Stegostoma tigrinum: one gene and its partner. The protein of the gene in region 2 interacts with the protein of the main gene of each other region in a pairwise test. Links are inferred from orthologs where the notes say so. Each region holds a gene or a part of one and is shown on either strand. Other genes may lie near its edges. The genes, in order: zinc finger and BTB domain-containing protein 5 and neuronal migration protein doublecortin-like.

Region 1 (7,123 bases), on a different chromosome or scaffold from region 2:
AAAGGATAGTAATTGATCTCATAACTCTCCAATGTTTGGGTGAAATGGTGACATCACAGAATTGTTCTGGTGCAGAACGATGCCCATTGTGCCTGGACTAGTTTGTTAAATGAGCACGGTTATTGTCCTCGATCACAAACTGCATCCAAATGTTCCTTCCGATTCAGTTAATTGTAGTTAAGAGAAGATTCAACAGCATTAATTTACTTAAATATGAGCATTATTAAGTAAATAATAAGACGAAAAAGAAAGGAAAATAAACAATAAGTTTGATGCCCTTCTGCCCACTGAGGACTCCTCAATCGATGGCTGGTCTGGAGACTTATGTTCACTCCTGGCACTGTTCACAATCCCGACCTGAGGGGCAGTCCAACGATTTGGAATGAAACTGTCTCTCTTATACAGTGTAACAAACAGCCAGTACAGAAAAATAAGTTGATTGTGCTGTCTTTGCACGTACAGGAATGTCAATCACCCTCACAGGACTTATTCAAGGTCATGCTGCTGTCGAATATCATCATCAATTTTAACTTATCCTATACAGTCCAAGCCTGATGATATTTGACAGCGTATGTTACAATTACAAATACAGATGCAAATCAGTGATAGCCACACAAAAACGTATAATAGTACGTCTCTTTAACCATTTGCAATATATTTGTATTGTTCTGTACCAATGCAGTAACTAAGTTCTATTCATTAACTGTTTTGTTGTATTATATATCTTACAAGCCATTACCATTTGCCAGTTTGCAGTTGTACTGTGTGTCCTTTAGATATGGTAAACATATCATGTCCCTGTGCTAACCATTACCCACAAGGCATACATCTAGTGGTATAGTGTGCAAAGACACATTTGTTTCCTGGTTGACATGCAAAGTCGCCCTGCACCCTTTCAGTTTCTTTGTGCTGTCCATGTCATGTTCACACTCCAGATATGTAAATTAGTTGCCCACGTCATCTGATGAATCATCCACAGCAGCGTCCATCCATAAAAAGTCCACATGGTTCTGTGAAGAAATCATACCTTATCAGTTTACAATCTTTGACAATGCACTTCCTTTTCGTTAATTTCCCTCTGTCTATACATTCTGGAGCTTCCTGTCCCTTTATCAATAGCAAATATGTATCAGCTTGTCCATGGGTAAGTATTTCATCAGGCTTAGACAGGCATTGTGGTTTCCCCTATACAAAGGTCATTGGGCTTTGTAGGTTTACTAGTAGGATGTAACTAGGAAGGCCACCTCCCTTAAACATTCTACTCATGGGTGACCCTCCTTTCAGAGGCTGATTATGCAGCTTGGGCAATGCCTGCGGCCACACTTTGAGCCACCCCTATAATGTATGATTAGGTGTCCATAATTTATTTTGTTGTTTTCATAACTCATTCATTCGTTCTACAAGGCTGCTTGAGGGTAATAGGGAATGTGAAACATCCCAGTGTCTGCAGTCCATTGCGACACCTGTTGACCATTATCAGATGGTATTTCTGATGGTTCACCATAGTAGGATATTAAATGCTCTAGGTCCTTAACAGTATCACTGATTCGCTTTGGTCGTCAGGAAAGCTCACATTAGCCCAGAGTAAATGCCCACCATGGTTAACGGATATTGATGTTGTTGTTGTAACTGTAATGGGCCAACATTGTCAATCTGCTAGATTTGAGCAGGCTGATCTCATTTGATTTGTGCCAATGGCTTTATCGGCAGTGGTATGTGCTTTACTTTTGACAAATTTCACACTTGCCAATTACTTCTCTCACCAGATGAGCAGATAAGTGCAAACCTTTATCTCTTGCCCAATGCACAGTGCTGTGATACCCTGAATATCTTGATTTTTCATGAGCCCATTTTTCAGTGTGATACTATTCGGATACATCTTCTGTTCATCATCAACTACATCAACTGTTCTGGCTTTTACTATTCCATCTACAGTTTTGTTGAGATCAGCAGATCCTTCATATGGGATCAACATGGTGTTGGACCTTTGCCCATATTTGTTCCATAGTTCTGTTCCCCACGGGGGCTTTCCAGCAATCTTCCAGTCTCATGACTGCCAGGTTGGCATCCGTACAGCCATTTCATTGGCCACTGCCACGAGTCAGTATAGATGTGCAGATACTGGCTCTCTTCTTCTAGTGCTAGGACCACAGCTGCTAATTTGGCATACTGGCTCATTGCCCCATTTCCATCAGTATGGATAATCATCTGCGCAAAAGGATTAAATGCACCTGCTCGCCACCACCTTTGGCCAATCTTCCAGGTGGCCGATCCATCAGTGAAACAAGCAGAGTGAGCAGTATCTTTGGGCAGTTGTTCAAATGGAATGCCCAATTGAACAGGAGGTGCGTATGGCCAGGTTGGAATTTGTTCACCTGATAGGTATTCAGCTATTTGTTCATGGAGCTTGGCAATCCCTTCCTTTTCCTTCTTGGTTCAAGCAGCTGTGTATCATTTGCATTTTACAATGGGGCTTTGTTGGGCTCTACTGACCTTATGTTTTGCAATATTGGACAAAACCCACATTAGAATTGGTAATTCAGGTCTGAGGAGCACATTGTCCTCGCCCGCCTGCTCTTCAATCTCTACTAAGGCCCAGTAGCAGGCCAGAGGTTGCTTTCCAAATGGTATGAAATGTAGAGCTGCCTCAGTCAGTTTTCTGGACCAGAAACCCAAAGGTATTGCTTTCCTATTCTGTGTCTGTCATAAGCTCCATGTGGCTACATCTTGTATTACTGATAGTTGTAATTTAAAGGAAAGCCAGGTATCCAAGGTGCCCGAGGAACTGCTAGTGCTATCGTCTCTTTAGCAGCCTTAAATGCTTTCTGCTGTTCATCACCCCATTCAAACACAGTCAAGTGAGGTATATGACTGCACCAATATCCAAGCATATATGTAAATTCCTGTGCCTCAGTTTTGCTCATTGGAACAGCAATTTCCTGTATTTTATTCTTTACTTTTTCAGGGATGACTCTATTCCCTCTTGTACATCAAATGCCTAAAAACTGCACTGATTCCACTGGCCCCTGTATCATCTTTAGGTTCACTTGGTAGCCAGTAGAAGGTATGTTAGTGGCCTTCCCACGTAAAAGCAAACTGAGGTTGTGATACCGGGGCTATTTACTTTTGCCATCCTTGCAAATTGCTCTTATACTGGCATGGGAAATAAGGATTTAGGACATGAAGCCTCTGAGGCACAAGACACACATACAAAAGTGTTTTTCCTCTAAATTACCAGTCCTTGGAAATTAAGAGCGATTTATTTTGTTCTTTCTTGGAGTGTGAACACCACTTGTAAAGCCAATGGGTACTGTTCCAATTCTGAGCACGGTAGGAAGAATTTGCGAGCTTTCGTAAATGTACAGAAAAGGTATGAGAATGACTTCAGAAATTAGGAATTTTCGCTTCATGGATAAACTGGGAAAACAGGAGTGTTCTCCTTTGAGATGGTCGAGGTGAGATTTGATAATTTAAAATCATGAGGAGAATGGACAGAATAGAGAGAATCTACCTACTACCTTAAGTGATTGACAAATAAAAATAGAGAAAAAAGGTCATCTTAAGCAGCGAGTAGTACGGCTCTGGAATGCAGCTCATGAGAATGTGGTGAGAACAGATTCATCTAAGGCTTACCAAAGAGCAACTGAATAAGCACATGAAGAAAAATAAACTGCCGGAGATGTTGGGGTAAAAGTCGACGTGGAACAATAGCTTAGTTGTTCTTGCAGAGAGCTAGCACTGATGCCAAAGGCCAAGTAGCATTCTTTTGTACTACTACCTTTCTTTGTGAAGCACTTGGGATCCCTTCTGCGGTCGTGAGGTAAATAGAAGCAAAGTTTTTTTCTTGAAATTAAACTTATTTACTCAACAGAAAAACAAAGACAACTGCATTGCACTTAAGATCTGATTCTTTACAGGTACACAGATGTCAATTAAGTGTGTGTTGCATTGATTGCCTTTGCTAACCGTGCGAAGTAACGACACAAACAGAAATAGGAACGAGGATACCAGGCTCTAGATGTCAATCCAAAAGTAAACGGCTTCCGCTTCCGGGTGAAAGGTGGCAGTTTGTCAGAGGCCGATGGGGAGGAGGAGGTGGTGCTCGTTGCCGGTCTCAGTCACAGCTGAACAAAAGCTGGCGCTTGGCCCAGTGTCGAGCAGTTTACCGACTCCGGGCCAGGTTTCCGGTCGGTTTCCGTTTGTCGCCCGGGAGCGGCGGCGGCGGCGGCGGCACGAGGCTCACACGCGCCCGTTGTTTTGTCCGCGAGCGCGGGAGGAAGCGGCGCGTGCCTCTGGTAAGGGAAAGCGCGAGCGGTGTGGGCCAGGCGCATGCGCTTAATGGGGTGAGCGCACAATAAGGGGGCTGCGAGCTCCGGGAGGTTGCACGTGATTCTTCCCCCCCCCCCCCCCCCCGGCAAATCCCGGACATCTCTCTGCAACTCCCTGTCTCTGCACCCCAAATCTCCCTCCATCACTTCCTACGTCCATACCCGTCTTTGTAGGGCCCCTTCCTCTCTCGTGTCTCCAAAACCCATATTCTTCAGTTCCAAGGTCCTCCCTCTTCCCCCCCCCCCCCCCACCCTCGCATCAACCCTTCTTCTCTAGGGTCCCCATCCTCCTTTATTCACCTTTCACCTCTCGGGTCTGCATTCTACGCTTCACTTACAGAGATCCCCCCTTACTCTTGAGGGTCTCCATTACCCTTGTATTGCTCCTTCTTTAGGGTCCCCGTACCTTGTAATAATCCTCCCCCTCCCCTTCACTTGCAGAGATTCCATTCCCCTTGCATCCCATCTTCAACCCGAGGGTCCTCATCCCAAGCTCCACCCCTTGTCTCCAGGGTCCCCCCCTGCCTGAACACATCTGCCTGACCCCCCCCCAACTTCAGTGCACGCGCCCCCATCCGCATCCCCTCAGTGCACGTTCGCCTGCCCCATTCTCCCCGGTCCACATCTTTCCCCCCCCACTTCCTCCTCCTTCCCCAGTCCACACTTACCCTCATATCCACAACCTGTCCTCTTCCTCCATCCATCAGGTAGAAGATACAAAAGCTTAAATATATGTGCCAGCAGATTCAAGAACAGTTTCTTCCTGTTATTAGAATTCTGAATTGACTTCTCAAATTTTCAGTTTAAATGTTGGTCTCACTCTTTGTGCACCTTCTCTGCAGCTGTAACATTGTATTCCTCGCTCCGTTCCATTACCGTAATGCACTTTGTATATGATCTGCCTATATTGCAGGCAAAACAAATCTTTTCACTGTAGCTAGGCATCCGAGAATAAATCAAATAAGAAGAAATCACCCCCCCCCCCACCTTCTCTTCAACCGGTTTCCTGTAATCCAGTTGGGCAATTCCTGCAGACCCTGCTACATCCCAAAGAGACATCTTGCATTCAGCTTCCTGAGTGACCACATCTGGCCTTTAGCCCTTTTCTGATTTGTTCACTTGACAGTTGTCAAGTGTGCGTTTAGTTACATCACCTTACTCTTACCTCTTTAGTTGTCCTAAAACGCACTTCACTGTTCTAGTATTTCTTTCAGTACATTGGCGTCAAAATTTTTTTGTTTGAGTGCTTTTGTAAATCACTTGGAATGTTTCAAGGTGCTATAGAAATGCGAATCATTTCTGTCCTTCTCATCTGCCCCCCAGTCCGACCCCCCCCCCATACACACACACAGCATCCATTGTATAAACTCCCTAAGCTATCTTCCAAAGTCTGGCCAGGATATCCCTGTGCATCAGGAGCATCCTCATTGAGGCAGCAGACCAGGCATCTCCCAAGTGACTACTCTTCTCCACATCACCGGGCAATCATGTCCATCTTTTCTCCGTGGTTCATGCTATTGCTGTCTGATTGGAGGACTTGAATTTAGGTCTCTAGAACTTGTTTGTAATCATAGCTCAAGTGCTGAGCCACTCTGTTAGACTAGGACGATCAGCCTCATCTGCCAGACATCCGCGCACCGATGTAAGCATCAACACGAGGTGGTTTTCTTTGTGATTTCAGTACGTTGTGTCCAGCTGGGACCTCGCTGGCATTGAGAGTCTCCGCCCCCGCCCCCGCTGATTTGGAGCTGTCATTGCAGGCTCTGAGTCCACATACCACGAATCCATGCAGAAATAGAGTATTAATGCAATGTTATTAGGCAAATAAACTGGATGCGGTCCATCCGCTTCAACGGTGCATTGCAAACTGAACCGACAATGACAAAGCATTGGGCAGTCATCAGAACCCGTGTCCACTAGATATTGGAGTGGTAGCAGCTCCAAGGCTCTTTGTATCGCAGTTCCTGCAGACAGCTAGAGCCAATGCTGGGCAGGCGCGGGTTGGAGACTTTACTGAGTGTGTGTGTTTTGTGAGAGAGAGAGAGAGGGAGAAAGGAGGGGGCTGGTGGGAGGAGATCAGGTCAGTGCACCGACAGGCTGGTGGGAAAAGGCGTTCGGCATCCTGTGCCTAAACTGCCAAGGAAGCGGGGGTGGGGAAGAGAGGAAGGAAGGAGGCAGCAGGCTACGTGTGTGAGCGAGTGCATTGGCCGATGGTGCTAATCTTTCATGCACCCGGTTCGCAAATGTAGATTCAGTTGCCTTTGCTGTCTTTGCATGGACTGCACGTAGGATTTCTCAGTGGACTGCCAGTGTTATTGCAATGTCGCACAGAATGGTAATGAACGAAGACTGACCCGCATCTTGTTCATGGGGAAATAAATATCCTCCTAGTTGGGACGCGATCCGTTTTCCGAACAGATTGTTTTCGCTGGTCCAGGCTATGCCACATACCTGAGTTAATTTGATCCACGAGCGAGCGGTAGCAAGGACTGGTAGCCCGGGGGTTCACGTCCTAATGTAAGTTAGTATAGTTTGAAGCTCAATAAGGTAAGAATGGGATTCTGAATCTTGCCTGAGAGCACTGCCTTGATTCTTCACCCACCCTGCCCCGTATCCGTCTACCAGAGTTGAATTTTATGCAATCGTTTTAATTTCTTTGCAAAATTTTTTTGACATTGGTGGACTGATGTAATTACAGTGAGTTAATAAGTATTGCACTGGATGTCTTGATTAATGTTTAAATGTGTTTAGGAATAACCCTCAGAAGAGTAATGGTAAATCTGAACTGATTGAAA
Region 2 (7,296 bases):
AAAACATGTTTTTAACATAGATGAAATCAGAAAAATTAATTTGTGATGGACTTGTCCCTTTGGGGCAGTGACTCCAGTTTTCAGTCACCAAGGGATTTTAAACAGCCATAATTAACCAGTAAACAGACCACATGAACACCAACTGCTTTCCCATTAATATTATTGAGCATGAAACTTCCAAACATTCCCCTTTATATCTCTAATGTGCTCACACTACTGAAATTACTAGGTAAAAAGCAGTAAATAGAATTATTTAAATACACTTATCAATTAATTAAAAGTGTAGAAATCAGTTTTCATTTAACCCAGGATACATATTCACAACTCCCAACATTTACCTCTATGCTGCATTCTGCCATAATCCTTCCAAAATTAATTTGTTCTCATGTGAATGCCGTTTCATGAAATTGGGACAGGACATTAATGAACAGACTGTCATTTATTATATAAACATAATGTACGTTTCAATACATAATACAATGAATTATTTTTGAAGTTCAGTCACTGTTGTTATGAATGCAAACATGACACCAATTTTAATGGCCCCAAAAACAGTTGTTGATACGAAAGACTATTATTCTGCATGTAGTAATGGTGGTTGTGAGATTAGCATTAACCAGGTCACCAGGAAAGCTTCTTTACTTTACATCCACCTGAAAAGACTGACAGAGCCTTACTTTGGCATATCATGTAAAATTCAAACAATATAGATCTTGCTCAGCAATGATTTGAAGTATTATCCTAACTAACCCACTTAGGTCTCGAGACACCGACTCGTAACAGAGAAATAGGAACATGAGCCAAATTGGTACTGAAAATTAAATTTAGTGCACTGGTAGATCAAGCCAATATTTGGAAAGCTAATGCACTTGATTTACCTGCAAGATATGTCATTTTAGTGCAATACCATTATGATGACGATAGCCCAGGCCTCTTCTAAACTCATCCATCTACCAAATGCACTGATACTCTTTTCATCAACTTAAATTTAGCAGAACCACATCTATAGTACTGAATTCCCAGACAGTTATTGGGACTAGATATCAGAATTTAATAAGTGTTGATGTCATGTCAAATTTCCATCAATGATTTCCCCTGTCCCAAAGGCTAGATTGAAACACAAATTTCCCTCACACCTCATATGAGTGACCAACCTTCACCCATGTCTACACATTAGTAAATCAATGGGGCGTAATAAATGCGACTGTGCCTCCCTTCACCCAACACACACTTTGCAAGTGATGTCAGAATGGAAATCCTGGTTAATATTTCTCCTCCCAAGGTTGGGGACATCAAGGATTGTTGCTGTTGTGCTGAGATTGAAGAAGGCACAAAGATTGAATATGGATCTCTGCAGTTTACTTGGCTTTCTCTTGGTTAAGCTTCCAGTGGATTAAAACTTGAGTCTTTAATGACCTGTGTATAATCATAATCAAGCAGCACCCTTGCTTCTATGCATTATTAATGAAGCTCACAGTGAATGATGACAGGACTAACCCTCTTAAATTATGGTCAGAACAACTACATCTCCCTCTAAAGGCATGCTTTAATTCCATGTTGTGGGTATGGTTTCATGATCAACTCACACTCATAGATGGAACATCTTTCTCTGTAACATATGAGCAGGTTTTGGAGTGAAACGTGTTACGTGATTCCTACCCAGATCCAGGATCATTGACATCATGGACATTTAAAGTGGTGATGCTGGGTTCACCTTGCGATGAGCTGTTGTGGGATCTGGACTTGACAGGCTGGTGCAGCAGAGGGGTTTTTTTGTTTGTTTCCCTCAAGTGGATTATAGACGAGAATTGGTGGGCAGTGCAGAAATGCTGACCTGTGCTGATCTAAATCCGGGAGTGTTGTGAGTGACCCTGCCTGAGGGAGGGAGCACAGCGTCCCAAAGCGACACCCTCTATTGAAGTGAAAAATCAAAATGTTAATTTTCACTGCAGCCCTGCAGAATGATGTGATCCTCAAAGGTGACCGAAACTAAAACACAAATCTGAGAAAATAAAATCACGAAAGTCATCGTTTTGTATATATAATCCCAGTTACAGCTGGAAATCAGAAACACAAGGAACATTTTCTCCTGACCCCATGCCTTAAGGTAACAATTTCTGGGGAGTGGCTTCTCCTCGCTCTGTGCAATGTATCTGATATAACGGTTTTCACATAAAATGTATTATTCATAAACGGCTATGTAAAGAAAGGGCAACTGAATACACAACACGGAAGGCTCATACTAAACACTTGTTAACAAAGGCGCGATAAATGAATCATTAAAAGCCGTCTCATCAGTTACTGTCAAGAACATCTTAACAAAGAGAACTCAGTATTGCGATTTATTGAACATCGTATAATTTAAGAAAATATACATAACGCTTGCTGACAAACGGGATTGTCAATTCGTTTATATAAAATCCCATGATCAATGGAAAAAATTTGTAAGGTGAAGCGATCTGCTTGAAGGGAAGACACTATTGTCTATTAACACTTATCTGCAATATGTATTTAACAATAGATTGAATGGGAAATGTTAACTCTCAGGCGGTAATCCTGAAAAAATACTATGGAACGACTCGTTAAAAAGGTGAGGAAACATCAGGTATCTAGCAATGAACTCGAGCTGTAGAATAAAATTTGAGAAATCTTATCGTCTCCATGTATCAACTGCAGAGACACTAAAATAAATCACTTTTCAATGAACATCGACTAAAATATCTTACTGCAGAATGCCAAACCCGAACTCGATCAAAGTGCTACAGCAATAGTGCACGTATGTCTATACAGAGATAGATAGAGATTGCTTCTTTTTGTCTCTGTCTTTTACTTACAGCAAAGGAGCAACTCACCAAATTGTGTGCAGTGTGGACAGGGTGTGGATGCAGAAAGAAAAAGACAATCCAAGCCTGCTTTTGTTGTCTGCGCTCTGGCTGGCCAGACCCACAACGGGAGAAATCGTGGCTTCTCTGGGTCCTATTGCGAGTTGAAGCCGTCTTCCACTAAAACTGTTGCAAGCGAGTCCCACGTTTCCCGTTCTAGCGCCTCGCAGGGGTCGAATGAATGAGAGACGAAAACACAACATACATTATATATATACCTGTACTGCAGCGGTACCCAAAATGGACCTCAATTCTATCAGTCAGCACATTGGGCTAATTGTTTTATGGTCGCATGTTGTAAAGCAATATCGAAGAAAACGAGACGTATGGGGAATGATTCCTTCAAATCAGAACAATGTTTCTGTTGTTTGCAGAATATTTCTGTTGCCTTAGAATTCTACATTCTGCTACTGCAGAAAGAAAGGCCTTCTCACACCTCAGAATATAACAAAGCAATTCATATAATATAACTTATAAGTACAGAGGCGAGCAGAATAAAAAATGTAGTCAGTTTCTTTGGATTCTTTGAATAGGCTGTGGTCAGCTACCCCGAAAACACACACACAAACACTCCAATATTTCATGCTCAGGGTAACGAAACCTGAGCTGTGACAGTATAACTTCATCCCAAATAGCTCCATTTGCCTATCACATGTGAGGCATGTCTCCATCATATTTACAAAATATGTATCCAATGGCATCGAAGGAGGTTCATTGAAGTCTTGCATTCCCTCTGCCCCCTCCCCGCCAGCGGGTGGTAGTGTTCGGGGGAGGGGTAGGGAAAGTTGTGGGGGAAGGGACTGGTAAAAGAGAGAACGATTGGGAGAAGGACAGAGAGTTGTGAGCGAGAACAGAGTTTGGGGGAGGCAGTGAGAGTTATGGGGGAGGAAGACGGAGTTTGGGAGAGGAATTGGGTGGGGGAGGGGAGGTGAAGAGAGATTTTGGGAGAGAGAGTGTCAATCCCAACCACTTTGTATGAAGGAGGCTCTGTCTCACGGATTGAGACACGTTCTCCAGTCATGAGCGTTTAAACATTCACACTCGCCTTTAATTAAATCCGCAGTACGGAGAACAGGAAAACTGACAGGAGACTGATTTACACTGAATCACCGCCCCCAAGCGATTCCCGATTTGATACAAACAACCTGGCGTTTGCCTAACACCTAGCTCGGTAGTATGTGAGGTGGGAGGTGGGACCCTGGAGGAGTGTTGTAGTCAATAGAGAAGGGGACAGGCTGGGGAGCAGACATTTAGATCTCTGCGGCGCAGTGATTAAGGAGACATTGGAAATGCAGGTGGGCTGGTCACTGTCTAAACCACCACGTGTCAGATCCTGCTTCTTTTTATTAAATAAAACTGTTAACGATATGACAATTAACAAAATAAAGCATTGTCGGGTTTACTCAGGGAAAGAGGCTCTTTGAATATCTCACAAAAACATCTGACTGCAGCAAAAGGAGTGGAAATTTTATTTCTCTTTTTGGCTTCAATCAAAAGGCACTAAAAGGGCTTGCTCTCTCATTTCATTCTCACTGCGACTGACACATATTTTACAAAAATGTTACTGCCTGATGAAGTTGTGAGCGTCATTATGCTGTGCGTTTACTGAACAATGAGATTATGACCCAATATCAACCAATCTTTTGACGTGCAATTTTTATATAATGTACGCCTCTATGGCAGCGTGTTTAATCGTTGCTTCCAGCCTCTTATATCATTGCATTTTCATTAAAACAACATATGCTGTTCTAGATAACAAAGTGTGAGGCTGGATGAGCACAGCAGGCCGAACAGCATCTCAGGAGCACAAAATCTGACGTTTCGGGCCTAGACCCTTCATCAGACAGAACATATGCTGTTCTCTCGTGTTTAACTTTAATATTAATACCTGCATGCCAACATTTACACTTTATGGATTTCTTCAAGGTAATTTTATATAATAATGCAAACCACGTCTCCGGTCATAGAATTTAAGACCCTCAGAGAGTAGGTATGGATTTTAAATCACTGCTTTATTGTTAGTAAATCTCAATCTATTGAAGTTGCATCTGTTCATTGCCAAAATGCTTCTAACGTGAGCGGGACCATCCTGTTCAACTTCTACCTGAATTGTAGCAGACCCTCCCCGTCACGATGTATTGTTGCTATGCTTCAGCATTCAGGCCCGTGAACACATGGAACGGAAGAAAAAGGCAGCTTCATCTCAAGCTCAACGAGGAATGAGAGAGAGACGTGACCTCTGTTGGTGGGCCTGACGTTGCCCCCACCGGCCCCAAGATCACCGAGCAAGGTCAGCCTACGGCTGTGTCATCTCAACAAGAGCCCCTTACACTGCAGAAAGTCCCAATCAATCAAGAAGCTAGCAAATTTAGATGGAGCACCTCGGAGTCACTGCAAAGGAGCCTAGAGAGAATACATTGAGTGGAGTTGATGCAAGACTGGGGTCTCTTGTAGAAAGTGTGCTGAATCATCTGGAAATGGTTTTTGTGAAATCTTAGAATATGAACTAGAATCTGCGTCAGACATTCCTAAATTATGTGTCTAATTGGAGGCAGAAACGGTCATCTCATTCCGATCATCATGTCCATGGTCACTACTTTTCAAGGGACATCTAACTGAGTGAGCTAATGGACACAAACACGAGAATATAGGTTAGAAACCTTCCCCGTGGTAGCAAATCTTTAATGTGTCTAAAAATTCTCTGTCCAGAATTGTTAATAACTCAATTTAAAAGAAATGAATCAACGGCTACTTTAAAACAGTGGTTTTACGATCTGTTAAGTGCACTGGTATCAGTCTTGCCTCTCAGCTGTGGATTCAAGCCCCATTTTGAAGCATGAAATCGCGGATAATTTTCGGTGCAATTCTGACCGAATTAATTTTTCTTTTGAATTAATTGTTAAAATGGGGCCAAGCCTGCACTCCAAGATGAATGGCAAAGATCCAATGACACTTCATCATAGAATACCAGGGGAGTTCTCCCTGAACACCTAAAAGCAAATAATTATCACACTAAACAAACAAAGAATTGCGAATGCTGGAAATCTGAATCAAAACAAATTGCTGGAGATACTCAACTTGTCCGGCAGCATCTGTGCAGAGGAAACAGAGTTAACACTGAAGAAGGGCCATTGAATTGGAAACGTCAACTCCGCTTTCTCTCCACAAATGCTGCCAGACTTGCTGAGTTTCTCCAGCACGTTCTGTTTTTGTTTCATGATCACTGTTGTTTAGGGCATAACACAGTATGGAGCTGGAAGAATACAGCAGGCCAGGCTGCATCAGAGGAGCGGCACTTCATATTCCGCCTCGGGAGCCTACAGCCCAAAGCTTGTTGCGTGCAAATTGAATGTCGCTCTTCCACCTGATGCCTCTCCATTTGCTTACAATGTAGACTTTCTACTGTTTTTGTTACATTTCAGAAACATTTCTATTATCTGTTTGTGATAATCACCATTGGATGTTTTCTCATACGTTATGAAGCACGTTTATTCTTGTTTACTTAATATCCAGCAAAGATTGTTCCTAGAGTAAATACCTTTTCTAGTTCCAACACCAAGTGTAAAGCCAGCCTGTATTTTAGCAACCTCTGCTTCAAATTTCTTTTTATTATAGTTATTAAGGTCGCTTTAATGAGATAACTAAATAATCTTTAAGTTTGTTAGGTAATATGACTAATGAATGCCTCAAGTCAATTAGTATGTATATTTTTGTACATATTTGATTTCTGTTATCACTTCTAATTCCTCCAAGGGTTTTTAGATGTTTTGTTGTTACTTCATCTACGACTGGAGCTATTCCTGAACTCAATTTGCCTTCATTCTTTAGCTCTCAGCTCTTTATCCATCTTTATATCTTTATATCCTACTTTATATCTTGAGGTCTCCTTCAATTTAGATTATGTTACAATTCACTCATATATTTAGCCCTTTGTTTTCTACTGAACCCAATTAAAACATTATTTTACTCTAATGTTAACATCAGTTTTTAATCCTTCTCCCTACAATCAAAGATTTAACCTGGCGCATAATCTTCATTACAATTTACACTGATACAATGGATCTTTTGGTTGGTCCCTCATTTTGCATTTGCTAATTCCTGAATAATCCAAATTACATTGAAAGGGTGTGGCAGAAATAATGCAAAGTGACACTGCCAGAACTGTCCTGCTGTAAATCCCAAATGGAAAATAAAAGCATCTACCTTGGTGAATTTTTCATGATACAACTCTTTTAAACTGGCCTTTTCTTTTCTGGCACTTCTGCAGCAATAGTTTGGGTATGTTTGTTACTAAAGTAAATTCGGCCTGAAATCTAATAGATTCAGTGACAATCAATATTATTTTCTCCTTCATATCAGGTGGCACATATTGTTGATCCAAGCATACATTATTAGCTCAGTACAGGGGTTTTTC

The links.
Region 1: the proteins of neuronal migration protein doublecortin-like (region 2) and zinc finger and BTB domain-containing protein 5 interact in binary tests that used the Homo sapiens proteins (3 or more experiments, as listed by UniProt). The two-hybrid records come from large-scale screens. The link is inferred for Stegostoma tigrinum from reciprocal best matches to the Homo sapiens genes DCX and ZBTB5.

The regions. Positions count from the first base shown.
Region 1 is NC_081356.1:12,640,850-12,647,972, reverse strand, and holds the start of zinc finger and BTB domain-containing protein 5, read left to right. Parts: upstream 1-4,049; 5' UTR 4,050-4,295; intron 4,296-7,123. UniProt on the Homo sapiens protein: May be involved in transcriptional regulation.
Region 2 is NC_081368.1:24,971,791-24,979,086, forward strand, and holds the start of neuronal migration protein doublecortin-like, read right to left. Parts: upstream 3,191-7,296; 5' UTR 2,853-3,190; exon of another isoform or gene 2,835-2,852; intron 1-2,834. UniProt on the Homo sapiens protein: Microtubule-associated protein required for initial steps of neuronal dispersion and cortex lamination during cerebral cortex development. May act by competing with the putative neuronal protein kinase DCLK1 in binding to a target protein.